Linked DNA regions of Lepisosteus oculatus. The protein of the gene in region 2 binds, or shares a complex with, the protein of the main gene of each other region. Links are inferred from orthologs where the notes say so. Each region holds a gene or a part of one and is shown on either strand. Other genes may lie near its edges.

Region 1 (7,670 bases), on a different chromosome or scaffold from region 2:
CCTCTTTCCTGGAAAACAAAATTATATACAGTATGTAAAATACTACATAAGGCCCATTGGTAATTACAATGCAAAAATAAGTTTAAGCCTAAAGCAATCTAATTTCAAAAGATGTTTCGCAAAATCGCAGGATGAAAAGCCTCTCAGGATTGTTGGGTTTGATGCTAAGCTGCTAAATTAATCTTTGACTAGCAGAGCGCCATGAGATTTGGCCAACCTCTTTGTGAACGTGAGTGATGGCAGTTGCAAGCTCTAATCCATCCAGCAGGTTGTTCCCATCATAGTCGTGCATTTTGAAGTAGTGGAGCTGCAGCTCTTGAGGAGTCATGTCCGACTCTGGCTTCTCAATCACCCCTTCTAGATGTTCCATAATGTGGCTGCAGAAAAAAGACAAAACAGTTTGGTTCGGAAAATAGTTTTGGAAAACAAAAATCGTATCCTTGCCCAGTTTTATTTGACTGAACCTGAACAGCTGTGCTTGACTTTTATTTTTCAATCATAAAATTTTACAACGAGGCATTGTACATGTACTTGGTAGAAAGTAATTTTTGACACATAGAAGAGAGATGCCTGAAATTCCTTGCATTAGTATCATTAATGTACAGGTCCTCAACTAAAAACATTTACAGTAGACTCCAGAGCACATCCCAAATTGAGTGAATTTATGTAAAAGCTTTGCCACCTTTACCTGAACCTTTCATGTAAAGCTTCTCACATTGTATGATGACTGATGTAGTGATAGAATGTGTCAGACTTATACATTTATAATCCTTGGAGGTCTTGATGGTACACAGTCTGAAGCCCAAAAATGGTAACATTGGGGAAATATCAAATGCAAATTGAAAAAAACACAAGTATTTAGCTTTTTAATAAGAATCTATGATTTGCTAATTCATCAAAGTTGGGGAAGCCAACAGAATAATTCTGTACTTACTCTTTATCCTGGACAATATTTTTGTCAAGTCTGAGGTTGGGCCGGTGCCCCTCAGCAACCTCTACATCAGGTTGCCCGTGATCTTGTGCTCTGGCTGACAACAAGCAGCTGAGCAATAGCGCTGAGCTGAACATGCTGCTCCAGCCGGCTCTGCCTCTCCACAGCATTCTCACACCAACCAACTGTGCAGGACACCGACGCACTCCTCAGATGCTGAACTCAACGCACTCTACAGGTGGCCTGTGTTGAAGACAATTCCTGTGGAAATAGTGGGTAAAGATCCACTGTCAACTGACTCCATTTTTAAACTCTGCGTTGTTCATAGTATTTAAGATTGCAAACGTTTCAGAAATGCTTTTGAAGACTTCTCTACCATTACATTTTAAAGACAACACTGTATTTTCATCAGATGTTCAGATTTTAATGAGCAATAAAATATTTTGGAAGAAATTTAAGAGGTGTATGAACATAAAAGGTCAATTATCAACCCATGACACATGAGGACCATCTTGAAGCTTGCAAAGACAGAGCCAAACATTTGTACAAAACCATTTTAGGGAAATATATTTTTAATTGTGCCATTTATTAGTCACATTTTTGACACTTTTATCCAAAGGGACTTACAACTGTACCAATCTATAGAGGAACCTTTCACAGGAGGCCACCCACAGTGACCCACCTGAGATTTAAATCCAGAACCTACTGTAAATAAAAACACTAACGACACTTAGCCTAATCTGGTAAAGAAAGTACATTATTCTAAAGCATTGTGACATATCCTTACTGTCATTGGAGATATCCCGCCTAGCGTGGATACTGTTGGAATAAAAAAGTCAGTTCTTCAGACATAAATAGTGTTTTTTCTCCTGAGGGAATAAGAATATCACATGAATTCATCTGCAGTTAAAGTCTCTTGGAAGACAGATACTGTTGCAACCTTTTTGTCTTGGTTAAAATCCCATTTAGGTGATTTCTTTAGTCATGACCTCATTTCATCAGCAGAACAGTCTGCCGAATCCAATTATCTATTAACTAAAGCTCTTCTAAAGAAATATCAACCTGTAGCATAACTGCAAATGTCTCAGGCTTCTGGTTCTGAAAACCATTCTCTTACATCTTTCCATAACTAGTAGGTAGTTAGTCCCCACCTCAGGGCAGATCTTGGTATTCATTGTACATGTGAAAAAATAATTGTATCTGCTGTACAGATCGAATTGCAGTTTCTAAAACCTTCTCGTTTATGAACTAAACACGCCTACGTTGACAATAGATACTTTGTACATATTTGTAAACTGATGTACGTGCGTAACGGATTATCAGAAACATACGACGTTATTACTATCGTACCTTCTGCACCTAGAAATATAAGCTAATACAGAAAAAGCAAAATGAGTTTATATAGTCAAACAAGTGGCTATTAAAAGGTGTGTATTTTCGATGTATGATCAGACAACATTAATTTGAACGCTGGCGAATGCCATTTCTTAGTTGATCAATACGCAATTCAGCAAAAACAAGATACATATTTTTTTGTTATTTTCGAGTGCTTCACACCCCCTCATTACATAGGTCTTCTTTATCTCAAATGATATGTTATAACGGTAACAAATTACCGCTGTTGATGCTAATAACACCGATCATACATTAGCTATAGACAGTCGGACATCCTAGATTACTTAATAAAAAGCGTGTTCTAATGATCCCACACAGGTATAAACTTAAGACAGCCTAAATGTCTTTAATTTTGTCGATTTACTATTTAGTGTTAGTTTAGCTGTAAACTAATCATAAACAGTGTTTAATTGAACAGTGTAATCGAGAGGATCCCAGCAGAGCAGCTGCAATTCGACACGAGTTGGTGCAGGTCAGTCTGAAATTAGTTCAATAAAAAATGTATATTCTTATTAAGCCTATTTTACACACCTTTATGGCCCAATCAAATCACTTCCACACTCACCAATTTCCTTTGTTTTCTTTCCTTTCCTGTACAAATACCCTGACTCGCTTGGAGCGATACTTTCGTCTATGCAATTTTTTCCACTGTATTTTGGTCCTTATGCTTTGCCGTAGTGACCTTTCACCTAAGGACACGACGTCTCTCTGTGATTGGCTAAAATTGTCAAAAAGTACGATTCCGCCTCCTCCTGAGGTTTTTCCACGTACCTCTAGTAAAAGCAGAACACTTCCTGGATTATAGAGATAAGGTGTTACGGTTATGGTTTATTTGAAAGTGTAGTCTAACCTTTATGACTCGGCAGTATTATTAGGTTGGAGAAAAGCACCAAGAACTAAGCACGAAGGTATACACAGCTCTTGAATTATGTAGTCTGCTAGATTTGAATTGATCCGTTTCTCTGACGACACATTTTCGGTATTAAGGCTACTGTATCGTGTGACAAGACGTTTGTACATGTTAGTGAAATTCTGGTTTTGTGAATGAGTAAAGGCTGATTGAAAAATGTCAAGGATTCTTTGAAACGTAAACCAAGTGATTGCTTCTTCGCTTCCTATAGCAGACATGCTCAAGAACATACATTACCTTATTTTAAATATATGTATTTAAATGCTTCTAGAGCAAGAGAAAAATCCCCATCTATCCAGAAAAAGTCTGATTACTTAAAATATTTTAAACGTCCAGTAACTGTAAAGTTTAGTACTTTAGAAATCGTACACTATGCATCAGCAGACCTACAGGCCATTACCTTAAATTCGTCAAACTCAGGATGGCTGGGTCTACTAATCAGTATTGGATTGGGAGGACAGAAGAAAAAAGCGAGTTGGTGCTGGAAGCTGTGTTGGTAGACAGCAAGGTCTATTTGATAGAAGGTGGCACATCCCCCCAGACTTCCGTTTCTAATCCAGTGTCTCATAACTTAACATCACTTTATTAGCCCTATACAATTTCTTGCATTAGGAATTCGTCTTTTCGCATACCCCAGGTTGCTCTCCATGAGACACGTAGACACATTGCACAGCGCCCCCTGGTGCAGTCGGGGTTAAGGGCTTTGCTCAGGGGCAACACGCAGTAGGATTTCTCTGCCGGCTGTGGGATTTGAAGCGGCAGCCTTCCAGCCATAAAATGACTGAATCCAGATGTTCAAACACGATCCTGAGTAACTGTTCACCCCATAGCACTGTTCGTAAGAATAAGGATGTTAGTTATTGTCCTGCCTGTATTTCACTCTGGGTTTGCACGATCTCCTCCTTATTTCGGTCTAGAAGCGGTATCTCACTTGTCTCTAACCTGCGGTGCACTGGATGCCAAACTAAGGTGGTGGATGAAGCAGATCTTAGATTTAGAATAATTTGGGGGTGATAATGCAACACGAATGTAAGGAATTATTATGAATTTTGTACAGAGATGTTTAGCTCGGCCCATATAAGATTGAACATGAAACCAACATCTAAACACTGTATCGCATGCTTACTTTCCTAGTTCGCGAATCCAGATTCCTTTTTTAATTCTCTTAAACATTCAAAACGAAAGGAGAACTTTCAGTTCATGTAAGAGCTAAATGACGCCGAATGAGCTTTCGGTGACGTAATCCCCACACATTCAATAACTCAAAACAGTAGTACAAGGTGTCGTCTTTTAGTTTGTAACGGCGGGGTTAAAATACTCGTTTATTTACCACAGTATCAGACATCAGTAAAACGATATAACCAAAACAACAGCTGTAGTTTCTACTTGTAAGACAACACAGCTATTGTTATCTTAAACTAATGTTACCGTTATTTATATCAATATCTCTGTTAAAACAACGGCTGGCGGGCTGTTTTTTTTTTCAGATCGCTAACATGCACCTTGTTAGTCATTATGGGGTTTACATAATGATGTAAATGTATTATAAAGCACAACATATACTGTTTTTTTGCGTGATTGTTTAAGAAGAATACAATTTTAAGCACGACAATACTATTATTGTTGTAATAATAATAATAATAATAATAATAATTGCTTACACTTATATAGCGCTTTGGACACTCTACTCAAAGCGCTTTACAGGTAATGGGGACTCCCCTCCACCACCACCAATGTGCAGCTTCACCTGGATGATGCGACAGCAGCCATAGTGCACCAGTACACTCACCACACATCAGCTATCAGTGGGGAGGAGAGCAGAGTAATGTAGCCAGTTCATAGAGGAAACTGTTGTAGGAAACACAAAGTGGCAAAGAAATGCAAAAAATCTGTTTGACAATGAAAGCAATAATTGCGTCTATCACCCCGCCAGTTTATATTTACGGGGCTAAAAAAATAATCTTTACCATAGTCAAAGTTCGTTGTATCCACGAGGAGGCACTATTGCGTAATTTAGAAGCACATTATTTTCAGTTTCGGAGCACTTAAAATTTAACAACCTCAAAAGGCTCAATTACTGTTTAGACAATAACGTCAGACGCTGGGTTTATTGCATTTTCACGATGAAATATTAGGTGATTTGACATTCAAGCATTTCATTGTAATGTGCTCCATTTAAAGCTGTATGTGGAAGTCAGTGTTTCGGCAGATCTACCAGAAACTAGTGTTTTTGAATACGGAGCAGTAGGTGATCATTATCAGCTTTGTTGTTTAAAGGTTGTTATTAATCAACTGTGTAAACAGAGGCCCAGTTTGTTTCAACACTCCCTAACAAAAAGCAGAGCAGTATGGGAAGAGGAAAGGTTATTGTACTGTAGATCTTAGAGTTTTTTTCTTAAGGTAACGCATAATGTTATGAAAAATAAGATATATATATATAATTACACTTAAAAGCAAAAAAAAAACAACAAACATAAGCAAGTCTACGATGACGAATGTTCCTTACAAACATACACAACAAACACAATGTAATTATTTGGTTTGTTTTTGTATTTTTTTTTAAATCACATCAACAGGAAAGAAAGCTGATGATGTTGTAACAACAGCAAATTATGTCGTTATTCTAAATCTTCACTGTAGCTGCGTTACATCCAGGAAGATTGTAAATCCCACTCACTGTATAGTACTTAAACACAAGTCACTTTCCAGTCGCACATGCTCAGTGAGAAAGTTTACTTTTTGATTGCCTGTCAGTCACCAGCGGGCTCAGTGACTGTGGATTACGGTTATCGTTATCAAGGAGCATGGCAGCTAGGATATCGTTCTCTCAGTACCGTTTGGAGGCTGAGATAGAGAGGTGTCGCGGCGAATGCCAGTGGGACAAGATACCCGGTCTGGTAGAGCAACTCATTTCGGCTCGAATACACGAAGATGGTGAGTGTTTAGGAGGAATTTGTCGCTCTCTCAATTATAAAAAAACAACCGCAAAAAAAAATACACAGGCAAGAGAATACAGTAGTGGTTCCGCCTTTACAGTCAGGGCTGAACTTTGTACTTACAAAGTCAGTCATTTGTTCCAGTAACTTCAAATGCAAAACGTGTGACTCGATTCACTGACCAAAGTTAGGGAAGTAGCCACGTTCATCTTGCAGAGTTGTGCAAGCACTGTGGTGCGAGTGCTAAAAGTGAAGAATTCGAATTTATATTGAGTGATAGATTGAATTAAAACACAGCTTAGAGTTTACACATTACGTACAGAAGTTTACATTGCTGCATGATACTAATACCTAACTGATAAGAACTCCTTTTCATCTTCAAATTTTAGATTCAATGGATTATTGCCATTCTGATTTTTATGTTACAACGCAGTTCTGTGCTATTTCTAGATCTAGTGGTTTTGCTTAATTTGTGGTAAGTAGGAAATTTACTTACAAAGTAATCGTTTTTGTGTTCAGAGTGTTTCATTCTGTCGCCCTGGACTTGCATTTTTAATGTTTTTTTTTGAATGAATGTGTTCCCTCAACCTTGTTTATAAGTCCTGTCAGATTTCCTTTTAACAAACATTAAAAATTCAAAAACACCTTAGACTTTAAAACTAAAAGAGCTTTCTATAGATTACCATTCAAGGAATATGTCATGAGTACATGGACATTTACATGGAAATTTTGTGTTATACAATGTGCCAAACAGGATTTACACAATATTATTAAGTGATGCACAGTAGGTTTACAGATATAGATTACAGGTTTGTTAGTCTCTTGACTAGATAGCAGTTTTATACAGCTGTCTGGTAAGTCACATGAGGAAGCCAGTTTTTCCACATGTAACTCGAAAATAGAACTTGAGGAGAAATTCCTTCCAATAAGGCTGTCTTCCTGCTTACTGTACATGCTGTAATTGTGAACCACAAGAACCACCCTACAGAGTTGTCTCAAACATGCAGAATGCAGCCTGCATACATGTGTGTAAAGTAAATAAATCTGAGGTGACTTTTATCCACCTGCTTGACAGTGTTGTTTCTGGTCGTTAAGTTATTATGTAACACAAGGACGGTCACCTGAACTTTTAAGAGAGGGAGAAGTTGATCTTTTTATGTAAAAAAAAAAAACAATGAGAAATTTCAATTTAAAAATATTTTTAAGAGCTTAGACAACATACTGTACCAGGTTTTCTATCATACCAGGTAAAATATCTGTTTTCTGTAGCCTCTCCGTGAAAGATCTTTGGTTTTGTGTGATAAATTCAAGCATGATACAAATACATCTGCTTTAAATATGGCTTTTTAAATATACTGTAACTTATTTAGTGTTTAATAAGTTGGTAGCATATATATATATATTAATACTGTAGGTTCTGGTGCTCATAAAGTTTTATTAATGGGAAGCATCTACATTTCAGTAGCTAAAACCAAGGTTCTTGCTGTTTATATGGTAA
Region 2 (7,454 bases):
ATCTTACTTTCTCATCCTGAGACTGTGTGGAGTTTCTGACACTGTTCTTAAATAGTTCAAGTCTTAGCTCACTGTCACTTTGTCTCTCTTAGCATATGTAGGTCTGAAATCTTACTCGTTAAGTGTGGTGTTCCTCAGGGCTCGATGCTAGGCTCTCTACTTTTCAATATTTACATGCTTCCACTTGGTTGCTTTTAAGATCAACTCTCACTTCTATGGTGAAGATACCCAAATCTACATCTATACCAGACCCGACACTGATATGGCTGTTTCTATTCTAACTGTATATTTTGCATAAAAATATGGATGACTCAAAATGTCCTTCATCTAAACTGTGACCAGACTGAAGTCATGCTTTTTGGCATCCCCATCAACTTTGTAAAGTTAGTGCTGTAACCCTATCTGTGGAGGGTACTGTACTTGAACATCAGTCTAAATTGAAAAACATGGGTGTGATATTTGATTTGGGCTTGATATTTGACCTAAATGGGCAACATATTGTCAAAACACCATTCTTTCACCTCAGAAATATCACCAGACTATGTCCTATGTATTTGCTAACTGTTGCTGAAAAGCTTATCAATACATTTGTCTTCTACGGAATTGATTACTGTAATGCTCCACTTGCTTTGGTTTTTAAATCCACATTGAACAAACTCAAGTACGTCCAAAATTCAGAAGCCAGAATCCTGAATAGGTCTAGTGCTAGTGATCATATTACTCCTATCCTGGAGTCCTTGCACTGGCTTCCAGTCAGGTTTCGTGTCAACTTCAAAATGCTACAGTAGCTGTCCCCCAAACCCGTCTACACTCTATGGGTGACAGGGCCTTCTCCTGTTATGCCCCAAAGCTCTGGAACTCTTTCACTAAGGATATCAGAGAGACACCTTCCCTAAACTCCTTCAAATCTAGACTCAAACCTTCTTCTTGAGAAAGGCCTTTACTCAACTAGCAGTAGGTTTATTCCATGCTGAAAAGAGAAGAAAGCAAACACAATGTTTCGGCCTCGGAGCCTTCTTCAGGTGAAATGTTGTGTTTTCTTTCTAGTCTTTTCAGCATAGAATAGGCCTATTACTTGTTCCTTTGCAGCCTACACATGCTGATGCAGCTACCCACCTTTAATTAACTAGCTCTGTTATTTACTCCTCTGCTCCTACTGTATTCAGTACCCACACTTACTGTCTCATTGTGTATTTTCATTGTGCATATCTTGTGGATTTTTTATTGTTGTCATTCTGTAAAGCACTTTGAGAAGCCACCTTTAAAGGTGCTATATAAAATAAAAAGATTTGTAACAAATAAGTACAATTTTATATTTAAGTATTTTAATGGACTGTTTTTCTTCAGTAAATTGTGTATGACCTTCAGTTTGTGCTACAGACAAACAAAATCGACTCTACTACAGGATATTAGAAATAAGAGTTTTATTATTTAGAAATTAAAGGTAGTAAAAATCCTTGTTTGGCAAAGAAAGTATGAAAAAGATCATTTCAGGCTGTCACTTCACCCAAGCACCATGATATTTTACCTGAGGAAGAAATACTTGTCACAGAGCAGATAAAGTGAACCTACATGGACTTTGACACTGTGCAGCCACACAATACTTTAAAGTAATGAACATGGATATTGAATAAAAATGTAAACATAACAGAAATGCAAGAGCACTGACTCAACTAAAAGAAACAATTAATAGGTTTATTCCATGCTGAAAAAAAGAAGAAAGAGAACACAACGTTTCGGCCGTGGAGCCTTCTTCAGGTGCTCCACGGCCGAAACGTTGTGTTCTCTTTCTTCTTTTTTTCAGCATGGAATAAACCTATTACTTGTTCCTTTGCAGCCTACGCATGCTGACGCAGCTACCCACCTGAACTAAAAGAAACAATGTAAAGGATAAATGTGCTGAAGTCATACCTCTTGCATACAGACTAATTTTTTTTAATTTTGGTTTTAAAACTGACTGGTTTCCTTCTCTTCACCAGAGCTCTGTGCTGCTGCACAGCACAAAACAGCTTTTCCCCCAAATGTTTTAGGCAGAAAGCCATACCAGCCTTAATGTTGTAGACAGCTGCGAACTGAAATAAAGTACTTTCTACTGGAGTGGCTGCAGATAAATCCTAATATCTCAGGTTAATCTAAGAAAAGACCTCAGACACTCCATTACAGAAGTAAGTTTACATAGAAAAATTGGCAATGTTTTCTGCCATATATTTTAATAGAGTTACTTTTATCTAAGTGAAGTTCTGGAGAGTCCCAATCCAAACAGAGCTGAACAAAACAAATAGTTTATCGTTAAGCACTACTGTAACTCATGCAAATCGAGAAAAAATAACTGCAGCGCTAATTCACGGTAACAATAATACCATTACCATGCAAAGAAACACAAGTAGTGATTAATTCTACACTGAGAAGTTGAAAGAGCAAAGCACACAACGTCTCGGCTGGCAATGTAGCCTTTTTCAAGTTTATGTATATTATGATCGCCATTACGGTTTCAGATTTCATCATCAAGAGAAATGCACATGTACTGCATGCAGAGGAAATTGAACACAAATTGCATTTAATGATTTCCAATACGTTTCAGCACGGATTTTTCCAATGACAGCAGATTGCACAGTGCGCAAACAAAAAGCCAACAAGCTGTGTTATTTGTATACCTGCAATCTTTATGACGGGAAAATTGTGTTTATTATTCTGACTATATTCTGCCTATATATTAATACAGAAAAGCTATTGCTCGTGTAGTATGAATACTGCAAAAAAACTTACTTCCAGTGTGCACCCAAAAAGGAATAGTACCGTCGCTCTGCGCAAGATGAGGTCCTTTGAAACTGTATTTGTATTCAAACCGGCGATGTGGCGAGTCCTGGGAGCTCTGAACAACGTCCGCAGAAACCAGGTGAAATATTAAAGTTAATATTAATAACCTAGTTGCTACAATCAAGCACTTTTCTATGGACACCGCCATCTTTCAGTCCCACTGCTGACGTAGCGCAGACTGTAGGGGATGTCGGGAATTCCAGCACAGCCAACAGGGCGCTTTCTCATTGGACTATAGCTCGATGGTGACGTACACACTAGTCGGGGTTTGGTGCGCTGTGGTAGGTAGGGGGAGAGTTCAGTTGAGTCGTGTACTGTATATATTATTTTACTATTGCCACACCATAAAAAGCTCAGTTAATAATTTGGAATCTAAAGATGTGTTGCTTGTTGTTTGTATGGTAACTTCTTGATTGATCCATCTCGTAAGAATTATATAGCAAGTTTGAATAACAATACACGTTTTTAGATAAACTGACATAAAAAAGGTTTATGATTGCTTATTTGGTTACATTTGGTAATAAATCTATAAATTCCTAATGGCAAATAAGGATGACATAAAACTGTGTGATGACAAAAAACTACAACTTTACCCCAAATCTCAGCCATTGCCTCTGTATTTAAGGTTTGACTAATACCTAACTTTATCACATCTGTCCTAAACAGTTGCAGCCATAGCTATAGTCCAAAAACATAAGGTGCTGTGTGTGGTGGGGATTGTACTGAGTTGCCTTCGAACAGCCTTAATTGAGTCCTTGCAGGGCTGAGCTACTGTATGCTCATTATTGTACATACAATAATAAGCAGAAAGACATGCAGCTAGTAGAGAATGGATGCTATCATCAAGAAAGCCAGGCTAGTTGAACCGTTTTATATTGTATATGAAGTTTTAAATCTTCCTGACAGAAGAATAGAGTTAGTCCTGTATTTTATATTAATCATTACTTTTGCAAACATGAAGTCATCAAGTCAGTATATGGGCAGGAAAATACATTCAGATAAAAAGACAGGAGAGCAGCTAGGACATACAGTAGTGTATATTCTACATCTCTTAGCCCAACATTGTCAAGTTCATTTATTTAAAGTAATAAAATCAAGTAAAAACAACTCTCCCTCTTGTGTCATACACACCTACTGTCTGCATCCAGAAGAGATAGAATGTGGTATTCCAGCCTGTTGTACTCCAATTCACTTGAAGCATGCACCACATCTGGCAGACCCAAGCAGATTTGGATTTTGAGTTTAAAACACATATACTTTTCAAATGCATTTCTCTGCTAATTCTCTTTTAACAATACCAGTAAATAACATTGTTTTTAAGTACTCCAACGTGCAGTATGTATACAGGAAAAGCAAGTGGCATCTTGTTTTGTGCACCATTGATCTATGTTGTACACGGCAGTGATTATTGAGGCATTTTATTGTATTGACCTCTGCTATTATTAATTGAACAATAACTGATTGGCAAATTCCACATTTAGACACAACTAAATTAATAGACTTCTAAAACAATTAGATACTTTTTTTGTATTGTGGTAATTTTAAGGAGGAATCTCAAAATTAATATTTTACTCACTTTCTGTAAAAAGTTAACTGCTTTTGTATGCAGACTGGAAAAGAGGAAACAGGAGATTTTGCAAAAAGAAAGAAAGTATTTTAAACACTGAAAAATTTAACTTTAATAGAGTTTTGATGTTATGCCTAACAGGATTGTTGTGAATGACAGTTTTTGACTTTTGAGGGATTTGTAGTAGATCAATTCACCATGTTTATTATCTCCCTTGTCGATTATTGTTTTTTTTCTTGTTCAAAGTTTCTCAGGGTATTAATTTTGTTTTGAATGCAGCAGTTCCCTATACATGTTTTGTAGTTGATGGACTTTGATGTACTTAATTTTTTTCAATAAAGATCATCTAAAATCTGTAGTTCATATACTGCGGTATAATAATACAATTAATTTGCTTGCATTTGTATAGTGCTAAAGGGTCCTAATCTGGTTTACACAAAAGAAGGCACCCACTTTACATATCACGCAAGAGCAGCACCCACCTAGGTGACAGACAAGAGCCCCACTGCTCAGCACGTTAGATTGAAAAGCAAGAACTGATTGAAATGAGAGGGTTATTGAGGGAGGCCAGTTTGTGTAAGTGCAGAGTTGGACTCATTTTATAAGCCATGAGATAGGATCTCTTGCAGTTAGTAAGGAACTTGGTTTAAATTCTCTTCATACGAGTGGTGCCTCCTACAGCACAGCATATTGGGTCATTAATGTAGACATTCTGCTCTACAGAAACTGTACTGGTCCATCAACACCACTATCAGCAACTGTGAGTGTTATGTGTATAGTGTCGTACTGTATGTATTAAGGTTTTCCTTTCAGGTCTCCTGCCCCAGTATAAATTGAAATATTGAATAATTTAAATATAAAAGTCAATTGGTAATATTAGTACTTTACAGAAAGTATTTCATTATACTAATTAACGTCTCTAAGTAAATTATAGTGCAAAATTATAATTATATTATTATAATGCAAAAAAGCTGGTATACACCTTGAATGACAGGAACAAATAGATATGTATTTAAATTGACAATTTCTTTTGAGATACTACCCTTCAAAGTTCTTAATAGCATAAAAAACTACTGTACTTTTCATGGTTTCATAATTGTAGTTCTTTTTCCTTGAGAAGTGCAACGTCTTTCAGGATTGGGGTGGAGCAGTGGCTCTGTGGCTAAGGATCTGCACCTGTGGCTAGAAGGTTGCAGGTTCAAATCCTGCAGCTGGCAGAGGAATCCTACTCCACTGGGCTCCTGAGCACAGCCCTTAACCCCAGGGGTGCTGTACAATGGCAGACCCTGTGCTCTGACCCCAGGCTCTCTCCCTGTCTGTGTGTCTCTTGGAGAGCAAGCTGGGGAATGTGCAAAGATAATTCCTAATCCAAGACATTGTAAAGGGTTAATAAAGTGATATTATTATTGAGCATGTGTTCTCTTTCATGGCACAAAATATGGAAATATGGATACAAAGTTCGGATTCAGATTCAGATTATCAGAAGTAAGAAAGCTTATTATTAATAGGTGATATGCTCATGCCCATGAGTACAATATTAAATTACTTTTAATCGGATTTTAGGCTGTATGTATTAAAGCAAATTATACTGGGCTGTTTTTGCCTGTGAATCATTTTGTTGTTTTTTTTTTGTGATCCCCCTTAGAAATAACAATAGCACGTGTCTGTGTTATACATCTAATGTAGTTTCTAGTTTTATGGAGATAAATTTTAGTAGATGTACAGTACAAAGAAAACGAAGCCTAAAATTAAGAGCATCATTAAGCATTCCTGGTGATGAGAGCTCTGCATCGTTTTTTTTGCATTCAGGCCATACAAGTGCAAGTTTTGGAATCTATGACTCTTCCTGTTTCGTTAACAGACTGACCTGGGCATTAACACTCCACTCTGCTAGAGGTTGCCTTGGAAACAAAGCTTCCTGCGTGTAATCCCAGATTATCCAGCTCTTTATCCTACATGTGACCCCTTAATTGCTTGCTAAATTAGATTTTTTTTATGAAATCACAAGAGGAGGTTAATATGTTCGTGCAGAGGTGGTCAAGCTAAAATGACAGAGCAATGAATGGGGTTCAGGTTACATGATCCCTAAAGGCGTCTCATTCAGAGGGAAGCCCCAGTCCCCCAGTGGGTGGTGGAGTTTTGCAACAATACCTCTGTCACTCACTTTCGTCTTCCTGCATTTGACAGTTGCCAATGTGTAATGAAGTCTAACTGTACTGAGGCATCTTAAAAGGATTGTAAGCTATAGTATTATCTCTTAATAAGTGTGCATTTTTATTAAATACAGGTAACTTTTCTACCGAGAACACGAAGGCATGGGTCTATAATCAGAAAATACTTACAGTTCTACCACATTGCATTTTCACTTACTGTACCTGTACCCTTTTACAAGGGGGGAAAAATATAGTTTGTTCAGAGTCCAGTGCCAAGCAAGAATCTGGTCCTGCTATACAACAAGTAGAGCTACACTGGAAAGTTAAAAGAAGAAGTAAAACCCATAAATTTGGGTTTCAAGCAATAAGGTTTCACTGAAGTCTTTCATAGTTACAATGAAAGGCTCTGTAGGTGATGTGAGGCTATATAACTGAAGGCTAATTTTCGCTGGTATTTTGTTCTATATTCTATAAATTTCTTTAATGCGTTTAAACCTAAGACTCTAGACAGAGAATAAAATCTTGATTAGAACAAAATTTTCTGACTTTATTTTAAATGTTGTCCCAGGAAACAAACCGTTGTCAGTACAATTGGTATTGATTTATGTCATGTTTGTTTACCATTAGTTTTTTTAAGTATGAAGGATGATGTTATCATCCAATTTATTATGCAGACATTATTCAAGAAGCATGAAGTTTGGTTTCAGATATCTTAAGACATATAAAACCTGTTGTTTGACTGTACAAGAATATTCTACCAGTTTGTATTTTCCTGCATATTAAATACAAATAACAGTTTTAATGCTTTCATGGTTACTGAAAATGTACTATACTCCAGATAGCATTTCTGTTTTAATTTATACTGTACCAATACACAATAAAAATGCAAAAGTCTAAGTTCTAGACATACATTATCT

The links. Proteins that work in one complex are often made in the same cells at the same time.
Region 1: the proteins of lman1 (region 2) and mcfd2 are in contact, whole or in part, in a cryo-EM structure (PDB 8JP5), measured with the Homo sapiens proteins. The link is inferred for Lepisosteus oculatus from reciprocal best matches to the Homo sapiens genes LMAN1 and MCFD2. Residues at the interface, in NP_005561.1 of Homo sapiens: His43, Arg44, Arg45, Phe46, Tyr48, Lys49, Ser51, Phe52, Lys53, Pro55, His56, Gln59, Ser60, Asp61, Val64, Pro65, Phe66, Trp67, Lys96, Phe265, Glu273, Lys279, Glu280, Ile281, Glu285, Lys286, Tyr289, Glu292, Phe293, Phe296; in NP_001164977.1 of Homo sapiens: Val59, Ile60, Asn61, Lys62, Gln70, Glu71, Leu74, His75, Phe77, Lys78, Tyr82, Asp83, Asn86, Asp89, Gly90, Leu91, Glu92, Thr95, Thr98, His99, Val100, Leu111, Glu114, Leu117, Ile118, Ile121, Asp122, Leu125, Asp129, Lys130.

What each region holds. Positions count from the first base shown.
Region 1 is NC_090712.1:13,243,171-13,250,840, reverse strand, and holds the start of mcfd2 (multiple coagulation factor deficiency protein 2), read right to left. Parts: upstream 3,001-7,670; 5' UTR 2,892-3,000; exon of another isoform or gene 2,858-2,891; intron 1,193-2,857; 5' UTR 1,102-1,192; coding exon 935-1,101; intron 378-934; coding exon 218-377; intron 9-217; coding exon 1-8. UniProt on the Homo sapiens protein: The MCFD2-LMAN1 complex forms a specific cargo receptor for the ER-to-Golgi transport of selected proteins. Plays a role in the secretion of coagulation factors.
Region 2 is NC_090698.1:20,227,721-20,235,174, reverse strand, and holds the start of lman1 (protein ERGIC-53), read right to left. Parts: upstream 3,002-7,454; 5' UTR 2,966-3,001; coding exon 2,767-2,965; intron 1-2,766. UniProt on the Homo sapiens protein: Mannose-specific lectin. May recognize sugar residues of glycoproteins, glycolipids, or glycosylphosphatidyl inositol anchors and may be involved in the sorting or recycling of proteins, lipids, or both.